Oreochromis niloticus: one gene and its partner. Each later gene encodes a partner of the first gene's protein in a complex. Links are inferred from orthologs where the notes say so. Each region holds a gene or a part of one and is shown in the gene's direction. Other genes may lie near its edges. The genes, in order: malt1 and bcl10.

Region 1 (7,241 bases):
TCTCTCAGTCATTCAGTATTTTCACATTACTGGCCAAGCTCAAGAAGGCAGTCCCTGAATGTATGCTAGTCATTAGTTTAGAGATTTTTTTCTGTGATGTGGACATTTACTTTAATTAATTGGCCTAAAAAAATCCCAATCAAATCCCAATTCAAATATAAATCATTTAAAGTGAAAAATTAAACTCAATTTTTTCATGAAAATATAAGCTCCTTTAAGCCTCCTTCCATTAATAGCATCATAATAGCACTAACACATTTAAAAAATGTTCAGATGGGGGAAAATACTAGAAAAGTAATTGATTCTAGAAAGAAAACAGTGGGAGGAACATCTGCAACTAATTAGGTTAATTGGCAACAGGTGAGTAACATGCATGGGCATCAAAAAAAAGCACAGACAGAGCTTCCAAAGTAAAGATGGGCAGAGGGGACACCATTTTACAAAAAACTGTCCACAAATTGTGGAATAATTTCAGAATAATGTTCGTCAACGTAAAATTGGAAAGACTTTGAATATCCCATCATCTACAGTACATAATCATCAAGGGATTCTGAAATCCCTTTGCGCAAGAAATAAGACTGAATATCAATACTGGTTGTCTGCAAGTTTTGGTCATCACGGCATGGGTTCAGGATCACTTCCACAAATCACTGTCTGTGAACACACTTCACTGTACATCCACAAATACCAGTTAAAACTCTGTCATGTAAGAAAGGAGCTGTAGGTGAACATGATCCAGATGATCTCTGATGGCATGAGGGTGCATTAGTGCCTATGGAACTGGAAACATTTAGAAATGCACCATCAACGCTCAAAGCATCATATACTCCCATCCAGACTATGTATTTTTCAGGGAAGGGCGTGGGTATTTCAGCCTGTCGAACTGCATCTATGTCTGGGTGTTGAACTGACCTGCTAGCAGTCCAAGCCTTTCACCAATGAAAACATTCAGTGCATCATGAAAGAGCAGCTAGACTCTTGTAACAGACGAGAATGGGACAACATTCTTCTCCCACAGTCCAGCAGCTGGTCTCAGACATTTATGGGCTGCTGTAAAAAGACGAGGTGATGCTACGCAGTGGTAAACATGGCTCTGCACCAATTTTTTGGGAGAAATGTTGCTGCCATCAAATTCAAAATGAGTTAGCATATTGCTTTAAATAGTGCATTTTCTCAGCTTAAACATTTTATATGTTTTCTGTTCTACTGCAAATAAAATAAATAAATCATTGTAATCTGTTTTTAATTACACTGAATACAGCGTCCCAACTCTTTTGGAAGTGGGGTTGTAGTATTTGTCATGTGATACAGTTTTAGGCATTTGATTTTAGATGAGTCATTAAGAATCACAGTTAATAGCTGGCCAAAAAAAGCCTAATTATATCCACAATGATTCAGTGTTCAGCATTTTCTCTACTGTTACATTTGGACTCTCTCAGTCAACTCTTTGGCTGTGTTTATTTGAAACTGGTAAGTGTGGCTGGAAATTACTCAGACTGATTTTAAGATAGGAGAAATCTTCTCACATGATTGCTCAATAGGAATAAAATGCTTTATTAAAAAGGGCTGATTGTTTAAAACAAATGTGGTAAAATTACAGGTTTCAAGTGTGACTACTTGTAATTTGCCCGAAGGCTGGGCGAAGCATTACATGTTTGCAGGATAACTTCCACAGCAACAAAAATTTGCGTTCAGCAGAGAAGCTCTCCAGTAGTTTTCCACACGCCTGTCTATCCAGGCAGTGCTTAGCCCATCTGGCCCGGTGGTTCAGTTAACAGTGACACACATTTAGTTTCTGTTTAATTCATGTTCACATTTTATATGAAACACGTTACTTACTTATATAGCCATAAACAATAAAAAGAACCTGTTTGTTTGGGGACGTTAAATAAAGGTGAGTTTATGTTGTTATTACCATCATGGTTCCAGATGGCATTTGCAAATCCAGACCTAACGAGACAAGGGGAAGCTAAACCAGACACACTGCACACAGGACAGGGACTATCAAAATAAAACAGGAAACACACGACAGGCACAGAGGCATGGACTTGAGACACGACTGACTGGGGAATGAGAAAATAAACGTGAAGTCAGAACTAAACCTACACTAAATGTGAGGGGCACAGGAACAAAACCCAAGAACTAGAAATCAGAAAACGAAGAAGAACTAGAGAGCTAGAAATACAGAACCATAGACCAAAAGACTAGTAATGATAAACCGTGATGAAATCAAAGAATTATAATAATACAAAACACTGGGTCACCGAACCAGGACTGTGACAAGTTTAAAGATATCAAAAAATAACTAAAAATATCAAAAGTATGTGAGGAAATAAGTCCAGGTTTGGGACTGGCGGTAGGAGTACACTAACAGCACCATGCAGTCTCATTGCAGTTTGTGAAATATAGTCACAACTATCATTTTATTAGTTTGTGTTTCTGTACATTAACTTTTTTCTTTTGTGTGTTCCTCAACATGAATTTCCCAGTATTATATTTGAACACTACTTTTCATTCATCCATTCTCCTATATACCGAATCTATTGTATATCTCAAATTTTTTCATGCATCATCACTTTAAAAAATATTATTAATGAAAAACATCCTTTCATGCTTAAGTTTAGACAGCTTGGTTTAGTTAGGTTTCGTGTTTTATTATGGGACTGGGCTGACTGAACAGCAGCACACGCCTGAAAAGATACGCTTCTAGTGGTAAAACAGTGCCACCTTGTGGTGAATTGTTTTCTTACATTTTGCAGGGGGCAATTACAAAAAGTGCCTTTAAACAAAGCCATTATATATGGTCTGCTCTGAAAAACTTAGGGAAAGAGCAGCAAGGACAAAAAAAGCATGTAAAAGCAGAAAAAAAGAGTGACCCTGATTACAAACAGGGAAAATTATCCTACTTAGTCATGGCATTACTTAAGACAACCTTTTCACCTAGAAAGTGGAGTTGCCAGCATTACAAAACAGGATTTACAGAGAGCCAGTCTCCATATGAATATGTGGAAGAAAAACTCTGAGATTCTGTAAGGAGACAAGGGGTGTCAAGCCACTCCTTTGGTCAACCCACAAACCCAGTGCTGACTGCGGGTTAGAGTTAGTCAGTTTAGTTTATAAGGTGGGGGAACCCTGCAGTCAGCTGAGACTTAAATGGTTACTTGGATGAGTGAATGTTTCCCCCACTGAAAACATTACGTCTAGATTAACAGAATCAATTTTTTTGTGACATGTAGATGAAATAAAAGTTTTGTGTACATTATATTGCAAACAGTTTTGACTTGACAATGTCAGTGCTGGGTAAAAACTGTTTGAGTCCTCAAGGTATCTTTCCAGGAAGTTATACCTACATAAATGAAAACAGGATTGATCCTTAAAAAAACCTGTTCATTTTCTGGGCCAACCAATAACCTATAGAAAACTTTCTAGCTCCGCCACTATGAGGAGGTCACCGGCTCCCACCTGAGCGGCTGAGTACAGCCAAAGAGTGCAAATTGAGCGAGATGAGTCGCCTCGCCTCAACTTTCTGTGCCACTTGGTTTGTGATTCTATGCCTGGGCACTCGTTTAAGGATGGATGTTGCATGTGAAAAGAAAAGAATATATAGATTAACCTTAATAAATACGGGTTATTTGGTATATACTAGCTAGTTTTAGCAGCGTTTACATTAAAGAAACCTCTGACGTATTAAAATCCACTGAACAAATACCAAATAATGGTGTTGATTGCGGGCTCAGTTAATCGTTCATTCATTGTCAAATGGCGAGTAGACAGCAGCTACACTCTCTTTGGCAGTTGCACAGAGCTAGCTAGTAGGGTATCCTCTTTCGATTAACGCCAAACAAAATTACGAATAGAAAATGAGATATCACACAGGTAGATTTTTGAGTAAGTTACTTGGTTTATCTTAATTGCGTGGAATTAATAAAAGGAGGTAAACTCCGAAAACAGGCCAGAGTTGGGGTTGTTTCTTTTCGCCTCTCGCCTCACAAGCCTACATGCAGAGATTCATCTTTACGCATAAGTGGTCTTTGGCAGAAGGAAACCACAACTGAGCTGCACCACGGGGAAAAACCAAGACGACGCTGTAGGCGTGTCAGTCATTTTTATCATTTCTTTCAGGAAGTAGACATTTTTTTTTCGTGCCATAACTTTGCTTTTGCGTGCGATAGAAACACGTTGATGGTGAGCTTTGGTTGAGGAACTGTCATGTCGGACTCTTTGGAACGGTCCACGAAGGTCAACTCGTTGAAGGAGCCGGTTGTGAAGAGGCTGTGTGAGGTGCTGGACAAATCCAGCACTAAAGGATGGCGAAAACTTGGAGAGATTGTTGGCAATGATAGACGGTTTAAAGTCAGGTGGGTTAAAAATTGCTATTAGTACTAGTATTTAGTAAATGACCAGAAATCATTGCATGCATACTCTCAACCACCGGTTTATTTATTAAAGCTAATGGGGACTAACGCGATTAACTTTCATTATAGTTACACTGTTCAGTTTATTGGTTATTGTGAATTTTATGTTGTGTCTTTATATTAAAAAATAAAGGTATAGAGTATGTAATACAGTAATGCACAATTAACCTGTATATTTTCTGGCATAGATAAATATGTAACTCCAAGTTAATAAATCAAGAGACCCCCTTTGAGAGATTAAATTGGACAACTATTTGTTTTTCATTACAGCATCTTCCAGGTTAATGCTAGTTAATGAAACTATCAATCAAAAATGTAGGGTCCAATCATTATTTATATGCAGTTTCATTAACAAATAATGGTGATGACAAATGTTTGCCTCTGATTTTTTTTTAATCCTAGCTGTTACTGTACGGCTGTAACATATGATATCACACCTGCCTAATATCACTATTACACCGTGTGTTTGAGTACATATATTCCCGGTACAGTGCAGTCTGCTCATAAGATCAAATATGCATTATTTATACCAAAACAGCAGCCAAAACTTAAAAAACAATGTAGCTCAATCAAATAAGTACAAACTTAATAAGTTTAGACAAGTGTAAAATTGCACAAAAGAAAGAGTTCAGGTAAATAGAGTATGACACTAATAAAGTCACTAGATAAAGTGTTTCACTGATTGTGCACTAAGCGGTGCAGATGGTGTAAAGATTAGCATTCATTTGTTTTTCTTTTAAACTTGTGTAAATTTATTCCCTTATCTTTGTCTAACAGTTTCTCATGACCTGAGTTTTCGTGTGTGAAAACGGTAAAGATGAGTTTTACTGTAATATGATTTAAAATATGAAATGCTGACAGTCACCTACATCCTTTCCAGCTCGGATGACATGGAGATGTGCTCTCTGAAGGTGCTGGAGCTGGAGGGAAGCCCGAGTCTCATGCTGCTGAGGCTGATGGGAGAGCGAGGCTGCACCACGGGCCATCTGATGGACTACCTTCAAACTTTAGGCAACTCAGAGGCTCTGCAGTGCCTGAAACCGCCAGGTAGAGTAAAACCACATTGATGCCGCTATGTTGTCAATCATGCAGGTTGATCTTCACTTTCTGCATTCTATTTATTTCTCATCTGAAGCTCACAGCTCATTGTGCTGTTTGGATGAAACTTATAGGTCATTGTCAGTGCAGTTTTAAGTCAGTGCAGCAGTAATCAGGGTTCATATAATGTAGGTTTCAAGAGGGAATGTTTTATTATGCTATTACCACTCATCTGTACCATTGCTAGCTTGGCAATTAAAGTTAAACCTTAAAGAGAAGCACCACAAAGTTCTGCTGTATACAGTCCATCTAAACTCAGTGTAAATTCACAGTAAATATCCTGTACATGTGCAGCCCTCCAGATCCTCATTCAGCCCCAGTCCGTATCCATTATATGTGGCCACAATCTGCGGCTCAGCTGCCACGCTGTGGGCAAGTCTCCAGTACAGTACCAGTGGTTCAAATCTAAGGAAGAGGTGAGTTCCTCTGACACACTCACACACACTGATTTTTTTTTGTCTTGATGCATTCTCAATCATCCAGGAAAGTAAATCTCCAAAAGTTGAATCTGTTCATCTGGACGTAGCGTTTTGTGGGAGAAACGTTTCGTCACTCATCCAAGTGACTTCTTCAGTCTCAGCTGACTGCAGGTTTCCCCAAACCTTATAAACAGTACATTTGCATAATGACTGAAACCAGCCCACTGAAGGAACAATGGGCTGATTTTTTTCTGACTTTAAATTAAAGTTCTTGCGTTAAAACCTCTTTAGCGTTTTTTACACATTCACTGCAGCCATAACTTTACTAACTTTACTAAAAATTACACAACTGAAATGCATGTGAGATCAAAAATGTCCAACAAAGCAAAGCAAAGCAAAAAGCAAACAAACAAACAAAAAAATGTCCAACATGGTCTGATCAGACATTAAATGGTATTTAAACCGACAACTTCCTAGTACAAAGTCCACCTGCATGATCCGGTAAATTCATCACTACTGAGTCCTGCTGTTGCATTCTCTTCTCAGTCAGGACTTTCCCATAAAACAAACAGAGTATTTCCAATAGTGAGAACACATGATTACCATATCATCGGTGCAGTAAATGGCACTGTTGGTTCATCGTAGTTAATGGGTGATCCTAAATAAGTGGTTAAGAAACTTAACTGAATCTCTTCCTATAGCACAGTGATGTTTTTTAGTGAGCTGAGCAATTCATAAAAGTGCACAGTTGCAAATGTCTGCATGTGTCCGCGTCAGCATGCGTTCAGTCTTGTGACGCCATGCTGAAAGGATACATAAGTGTTACTCGTTCTGACTTGCTAGATGTAACTTTTTTCGGAAGTGTGACGTGGGTGCTCGATCATAGAAAAAGACTGCGCATTCAGATGCTGTCGTATTATTACTAGTTCATATCTGAGTTTCTACCCATAGCTTTGATCTTTTCTAATGAGTTTTTGTTTTAGTTTATTTTCACTCAGTTTACAGAGTGGTTTTTTTCTCATTTCAGTTTAGTTTTGCGTTGTGTAGTTAATGTTTAAATTTAATTAGAGTTAGTGTTGTTTTTTGTGTTTTTAATTATTATAAGGAGGCTGTTTGTCAGCCTCTTCTGCCTGATTTCCCTAAATTAACTAACAGACTGAAACTAAGGACATTAGTTTTATAAATACACAATATTTTTTTCATTTTTTTTTCAAGACACTAAATGTAATTTTAGGTAATTGCAAGGTTATTTTTTAATAATTTTTTTCCCCCAAACTGTTAACTGTGACTCACAGTCTCTGAAATGCAT
Region 2 (7,373 bases), on another chromosome or scaffold:
TCTTTTGCTCCTAACCAAGACTTTACCAGCTGGTGCTGGACCATATATATATGTATACCTGGCAGCTGAAATGCATGTGAACATGGCTCCTTAAGGGATTTAACACCAGGCCACTGCAAGTTCTGACATAAATATTGAAGGAAAGCCACATATTTCTATGACTGACTGAATTTCTCCCTGAGCTGAAGCTCTGTTTAGACTGTTGCACGTTGTCTGCGAATAGTGTTTGTATTTTCCAGCCTTGCTAGTGTTACAGATTAAATTTCCCTTCAGTCATCCTGTAAGGGCGTGTGGATGGATTTGAGTTTGACTTTAAGTTTTCATAATGAGAGACGAGAGCCTCCTGGAAACGTTTGAAACTTGGTAATCCTCTGTTTAGTCTAAATCAGAGCAGTCAGAATGAGATACTAGACAAAAAAAAAAAGAATAAAAAGAAAACCCAAGCAATGCCTGAAGCAAAATTCCTCTCAGGATGAGCACTGCAGGCTTCTTTGAAATAGATGCCAGGATAAAAAGCATCTTCTTCCATCCACATCAAAGAACAAAGGCATTTATAAGGGAGAGAATACCTTTCCTTTCATTATAACCTGTGAGAATAAGAGGCCGAGCAGAGCAGATTGGCACCGCTTCTGTCTTATCTAACTAAGGTTACAAAGGCCGGTCTGAGTCAGCGCCAGCTCCAGCAGATGAAGAGCGAACAAGCGGGAGCTTGGTGTGTTTACCGATGCCTGGAAATCGCTGACTGTTGTGGCTTGGTGTGGAAATTTCCTTCCAAAATTATAATATCAAGAATCTGTACAAACATGTTAGGTAAGAAGAACGGAGGCGGATGTGGAGGGCAAATTGCATGTCCTCTTCCCACAGTTCAGAAAATGAATGTGAAATAAAACAAGTGAGAAATTGAATCTTTCCTCTTTCTTAACATCCTAAAACACTGTTACCCCAACAGTTTAAAGCCAGGGTGTCAAACACTAGGCCCAGGGGCCAAAATTGGCCTCACGGAGACTCCAGTCCAGCCCACTGGACAGCTTTAGAAAAAATGAAGGAAGGCTTGAATCTTAGACTTTTAACTGTGTTTTCATAAGCTTCATTTTTGCAGCCGTGGTCATTCACGCTACACCAAAGTAACTGGTCTTTTCTAATTGGAAATTAAGCTTCTATACACTGAGACTGGCCCATTTAAGATCAAAGCTGGCTGCATCTGCTCCTCGATGAGTTAAAATGAGTTTGACATCCCTGGCTTAAAGGAGTAGTCATCACTTTTTGGAGCAGATATCAGCGATGCTGAAAATCTAATATGGCAGCAACTCAGTGCATATAGAAAGCAGAATGATACTACTTTAGATATGAATGTTTCTGGAAGCCACTGAAAGTTTATATTTTCAAAAAGAAATAATAAAAAGTGCCACGCCGTATTACAAGCTGAACTGATCACTGTAAGTGAAACCTCTGCTCTACCTCACATTTTCACATCATGTGCAAAAACAACAATCGATAAAATAAAACACTGACCTTATAAAATCAGTAGACTAAAAGTAGACAAATTATAAATAAGAAAATGTGAAGAAAATCGTGTTAGAAAGTTCAATGAAAGATCAAATTCAAGGAACATCCTGGGCTTTTTACTACATTTTACAAGATCCAGAGAAGCTTATTCATGTCTTTATGTCTTGCAGGGCTGCCTAATGCGATGCTCCTTTTATTGTCCTCCCTAAAAAGACTGTTAGACGGTCACAGATAATTCAGAGTGCTCTGATTCTCAGCTCCCTGCACTGACTTCCAGTAAGGTACAGATTTCAAACTATTGGTTATTGTTTATATGTCATTAACAGCCCTAAATATATATCTGAGATGCTTAATGAATATGAACCCAGTGGGTCTCTAACCTGGTGACAAGAGCAGACAGATGTGAAACTAAAGAGGGCTTTATATACGCCTCTTGCAAAGAGGCGTATATAAAGCGTGCATTTTCTCATATCTTGCAATTTACTTAATGAGAGCGACATGTAATTACTTGAAAGTTATTGTGTTAGAGAGACCTTTTATCCTCCCACAGATACTTGATACAAGCCATGGGTGGACGTGCATTGCACAGTACTCTGCAGCGCCCTGTTAAAATTACATATCCCTGATACTTAATGGGATACACCCGAATGGGTAAGGTGGGTGGGCAGGTTATAATAGGCTGTATGAAAAAAAAGCTATAAAAGAAGTCATTTTGCATGGTACTTCGACTGAAAAGCGCAAATACCTCCTCACTTACGCATATTGTAAAATCACAGTGGATGCGAGGTCACGGTGGTGTCTTGGCTGTTACGTGAGAGTGGGTTTTGTGCTGATATGAATGATAGTCCCGTTGGTGACATCATTTCTATAAATGCCTTCTTTTCTTTTGTGTCTGGCTCTGCGCGAAGGGCACTCGGGAGTCAGCACACTGGGTTCATTTGAAACGCACAGCTGGTTATTTCCAGGCTGCTGAGCTCTGCTGTCCAGCATGAATGAAGGGAATTGTGGTGAGGAGAAGTGGGCACGCATTGTCTGTTTCTGTTAACGCTCATTCCCCATTTTTGTTTAACATCTGACATTTTCCTGCTGCGATGAAACAGCAGCCAGACAGCTGTGAGGGGGCTTTAAATCATTATCGCTGCGTGAGTCCTGCGATCTGATTTACAGTTCATATACATTTCTGCTTGCTAATGGTCTTTTCACACAGCACATACAGTACTACACTGCAGAGCATGACAAAACAAGCCTGATAACAATCTCCTCGGGGAGCGCCCCTCCTCTCTTTGTGCTATACTGTGATTAGGGGGAAGTGAAAATCTGTATGCATTCAGCCATTGTGTAATAGACTTCATGTTTACCAAAGTGTCTGATCACTTCTACTGCGCAGCACTTCACTTTGTATATGTGAACTTTGACCCCGTGTTGTCTCTGAACTGCTGATGATTTTAATGCTATGACCCTTCAGTTTTATTTGTATATAAACTGTTCTGTGACCTAATCTATGATACAGACTCTGCCTGCTGACAATTTACATTGTGATCATCGCATTTCAAAGCTCAGTACTACACTTTAAAATGTGTCCAGCTGCATGACTGACAGTAACAGAAATATATTTACTTGATGTACAACTCTGATTTTCCGAGTTTCTGTGCAGATTTTCCAAACAAGACCAGCAAATCAACAGTTTACATAAAATCAGCTCCATCACAGCCAACTAACTTATTAAACCCTTAGTTGTTTGTGTAGTAGTAATAACCTTATTATTATCATTATTTTTGCAGACGCTGTTTCAGATAGTTTAGTTTGTGGTGCTGTTGAGCTTGTTCAGACCGAATTAGTCTTAGGTGCACATAAGAAACTGGCAGGCAAACCTCAAATGTTTAATTTACTCAAGTTTAAGGCGCCTGAATTTTCTAACACTATTTAACTTCTACGCTGTTTTTCACAAGGAAAATTTATCTGATGGTGACAGCTACTTTGCAGATTGTGACTCCACATACAAAACATGCAAACAGATCGTAAAGCACAGGCGTTTTTGTGAAGCAACTGAAAAGCCCTGCATCACATTAAAAAAGCTTACATTTCACCTCAGACTTGCGTCATTGCAATAAATCAGCAACAAAAAAGAAAAAGTTATAATTCTAAATTGAAATTAGCTGAGAATCGCTCTGTACTTAAGTTACTTTGTAAATTACAGAAATCTCTTGTGCAGTAGCCACACAGTACAGCAGGGGTGCCAAACTCAGCTCAGTTAATTGCCCACAAATGGAGTAAACTAGTAAAGTAAAAAGCTCTTATCCCTCCTGCTTCTTTGAAACCCATTACAAGTGGTAACATTTCCCATTATTTTTCTTTTCTCATTTAATAAGCAACCCTGAGATCACTAAAGAAAAATAACTGCAATTTTAAAACTATGTCTCAGTTTTTCCCCATTCATCAATATTATCTTTATATTAAAGTTTACAGATCACAGTGGGAGGACACCTGGCCATAGTGATTTATTTTAAATCTTTCTGATTCAAACAACTAGTTTAGATCTAATAATACTTTAAACTATAGATGTTTTCATCCCCACTAACTTCACTGCAGTTTTGACACTTTACAGAGCTGTCCGGTATGGGAGCTTTTAAGAGGGCCACTTCTGTGCCCTGGACCACATGTTTGACATCACTGGCCTATAACACTTACTTTTCTTTGAATGAATGCTGTCATAGACTAAACTGCGGGGCATAGCAAAACCTGCCAAACGTGGTGTTTGTATGCGAGAAGGTCCAACAGCGCCACCTAGTGGAGTTATCGAGAGCCGCGCGTGGCCATGGTCGGAAGTGCAGAAGCGCAAGAAGTCGCACAGCAGAACTCAAAGCGAAGAAAGTTGCTCAGTTTGGAGTTGTTCTGGTAAAACAGGAGAAACCTTAAAGTGAACGTGGACTTTTTTATTCACAGTTACCGGTTTAAACCAGCTCTGAGTGGGAAACTGACGTCTCTGCCGTGTGTTGACGTAGTTAAGCCTCGACACAATCAGGAAGTCCGGGGATTTTTTTTTTTTCCGTTGTTGAAACAAAAAAAAGTTGAATGGATAGTCGATAGACCACCTTTTATCGATTAATAATAAGGTGTCAGCTTATTTAACTTCTATAATTTATTCGCTGTTGTGTTTTAATCCACCACTACGAGATTATTAAGATAATTTTCAATCGTTACCACCTGGATTTTCACTTTGCGGGGGAGAGGGATGGATGCTCCTCACCTCACTGAAGATGAAATGGCAGAGATAAAGAAAGACGTGAGTATTATACTTCAGGCACGCCCTGGCTTCCTAATAGATGGCAGATCAATCTGATAAGGGGAGCCATGTGCAAATAGATTTACTGCTAAATATATATTTATGCTTTGCTTAGCGCTATAGGCCTATTAAAAGGAGGAAATGCCCCCACCACACCCTCTTTGTGCCCTCACCATTTCCACTTTCTGTAGGATTTAACAGCAGGACAATAGGATGGACGTTTAGGGCACATCTGGACACCCAGCTTACTTTGTATGTGCCACAGAGAGAGCAGATCCAGGCCTGCTGTAGTCTTTGATATGGGGGAAGGGGGATGAACCCTGGACTGTGTGTTTCCTGTTCATTGACACCTCACTTTGCCCTCTTTTTGTCCACCCTCAATGACTTCCTGTGGCTCTTCAGGTGCTGACCAGATTGCGGCACTACCTCTGCGATAAAATCAGAGCAGATCGCCACCTGGACTACCTGCGCTCTCGCAGGATCCTGACGCGAGACGACGCAGAAGAGATCAGCTGCAGGACTACGCAGACCAAGAGAACGGCCGTGCTGCTGGACATACTGGCTGAGAACCCCCGCGGCCTGGATGCCTTGATCGAGTCGATCCGGGAGATGCGCTCGCAAAATTTTATCATCACTAAAATCACAGACGAGGTGCAGAAGGCCAAAAATGAGAAGATCGAGTCCCTCAGAGGTTAATACGTCAATTTCTAAAATAGTTGTGTGTGTGTGTGTGTGTGTAATGCAAAAAAGTGCTTAATGCGGTTGTTCTTTATGACTTACAACTGTTCCCCTTTTTTCCCCCCTCTTCTATTACTCAGCGGCAGGAGCTTCCAGTTCCTCATCTGACTCCACTTTCAGCACTCCAACCTCAACCAGCGACCTCCCGTTAACATTTTCAAACAACTCCACCTTGCTCTTTCACCCGGACAGCGAGAAAAGCCCTTCCAACTCAGATGTGGGCACCTCACTCGATCTGCTGTCTTCGCAAAAAGCTGGAGACTCCTCTGTGGCTTGCGCCAGCATCGCCACACCTTCCACGACTTCATCCAGCCTCCCGAAGCCCGGAGACCCCGGGGCGCCTCCTCTGCCGGACGAGGTAATGGTCGAGTCCCCCTCCAGCATAGATGCTGGAGCGCCAGGGTGCACCAGCGGAGGCGATCCAAACTTCCAGCCCCTCCGGTCGCGCTCCCTCACACCAACTTCAACTAGGAGTATCTTTTAGGAGCATATCTCAATAAGACAGTTCTCAACCGGTTAAAAAGACAACCACAACACTCTCTCTCTCTTTTTCGGTGTTATTCGTGCCTTCAATGAGGCGGTTGGTGAGAAATTGCTGCACATGGGCATATACTGTATACTACCACTATATTAGCTACCTTTTAGAGTGAAAATGGGGGCATTTTGTCATCAGTGAGGCTGGGATAACTTTTAAAGATTGTTTTTTTTGTTTTTCAAATGGTGGCAATTTGTTGCCTTAGTTTTCATATAAAGCAAAAACCAAACCAAACCCTAGGGTATGGAGATTGCCTAGTTTAAAATGGAAAATATGACTAAAATGAGACAAAGGTGCCATCAAAGAAGAAAGAGGAAATCTGCGCGTGCATCAGATGCATTTCTAACGCGGTTAGATTTCCAACGTGATGTGTCAGGAGTGAAGAAAATGTGACTCACCCTCTCTAACCTCTCCTACTCCCCTTCTGTGACAGGAGGTGTGATTTTTCTGATGAGCTGTAAAGGCTGAATGCAGTTTCTATGTTGTATACACTTGAACGACTACTTGAGAATATATACATACATATATATATATATATATCCATGTGTGTGCGTATAAAGAGCCAGTCTTGGAGCAGAACTCCAGCTCATGTTTTTCTGTTGTTTGTTTTTTGTGTGTGTGCATTAAGTCATCAAGAATTTGCTTCATGTTTTTGTCACTACAATAGTCTTGAATTAGTAAACATAGTTTCAGTGACATCCTATTTCTTTCTCTATTCACTGGTCATGTAATAATAAAACTAAAAGTTTTTCATATATGGACTGGGCTTTTGTTTCTTTTTTCCTTTTTTCACCGTGTGGTTGTGTGGTTCCTGTAGCGATTATGAAAAATCAAAGTGTTAGAGTGCCGATAATTGTTGTTGAAATAGGGCATTAACTGTCGAGGTCAAAATGAAGTGATTGACAGGCCTACAACGTGTAAATGTGTCGTTAGCTTCTGGGTGCGCAGACGTACCTTTTTTTCTACTTCTGGAAAAAACTGGAAAAGCTACAAGTGGCGCCGAGGAATGACAGTCATTGTGGTGACGGCTGCAGTGGTGACTGTACCACCTGTTTTTTCATACACCGCTGAGAAGCCCTGAGTGTTAGACTGGGTGAACTTTGGGTCGCTGGTGCTCGGCGAACGCTAACAGGTATTTAATTTATTATCATAATTATATGTAGAATGAAGTTTAACACATGTAGTTAGCATCTGATTTAAAAATATATATAATTATATAATAACATCCAATATAAGCAGCTATCTTTTATTTATTAAGTAAAAATATGTGTAGTAATTGTTTTCACACACCTCTCAAATCTGTACATTTCT

What was found.
Region 2: the proteins of malt1 (region 1) and bcl10 are in contact, whole or in part, in a cryo-EM structure (PDB 6GK2), measured with the Homo sapiens proteins. The link is inferred for Oreochromis niloticus from reciprocal best matches to the Homo sapiens genes MALT1 and BCL10. Residues at the interface, in NP_006776.1 of Homo sapiens: Asp46, Gln47, Ala48, Pro49, Trp54, Arg55, Leu74, Glu75, Ser78, Leu79, Val81, Leu82, Glu83, Pro84, Glu85, Gly86, Pro88; in NP_003912.1 of Homo sapiens: Leu13, Lys17, Val83, Arg87, Asn93, Gln97, Thr100, Leu104, Arg107, Asn108, Leu111.

What each region holds. Positions count from the first base shown.
Region 1 is NC_031977.2:28,480,648-28,487,888, forward strand, and holds the start of malt1 (mucosa-associated lymphoid tissue lymphoma translocation protein 1), read left to right. Parts: upstream 1-4,028; 5' UTR 4,029-4,209; coding exon 4,210-4,358; intron 4,359-5,295; coding exon 5,296-5,462; intron 5,463-5,807; coding exon 5,808-5,929; intron 5,930-7,241. UniProt on the Homo sapiens protein: Protease that enhances BCL10-induced activation: acts via formation of CBM complexes that channel adaptive and innate immune signaling downstream of CARD domain-containing proteins (CARD9, CARD11 and CARD14) to activate NF-kappa-B and MAP kinase p38 pathways which stimulate expression of genes encoding pro-inflammatory cytokines and chemokines.
Region 2 is NC_031982.2:20,184,405-20,191,777, reverse strand, and holds bcl10 (B-cell lymphoma/leukemia 10), read left to right. Parts: upstream 1-4,290; 5' UTR 4,291-4,738; coding exon 4,739-4,789; intron 4,790-5,191; coding exon 5,192-5,480; intron 5,481-5,607; coding exon 5,608-6,011; 3' UTR 6,012-6,817; downstream 6,818-7,373. UniProt on the Homo sapiens protein: Plays a key role in both adaptive and innate immune signaling by bridging CARD domain-containing proteins to immune activation.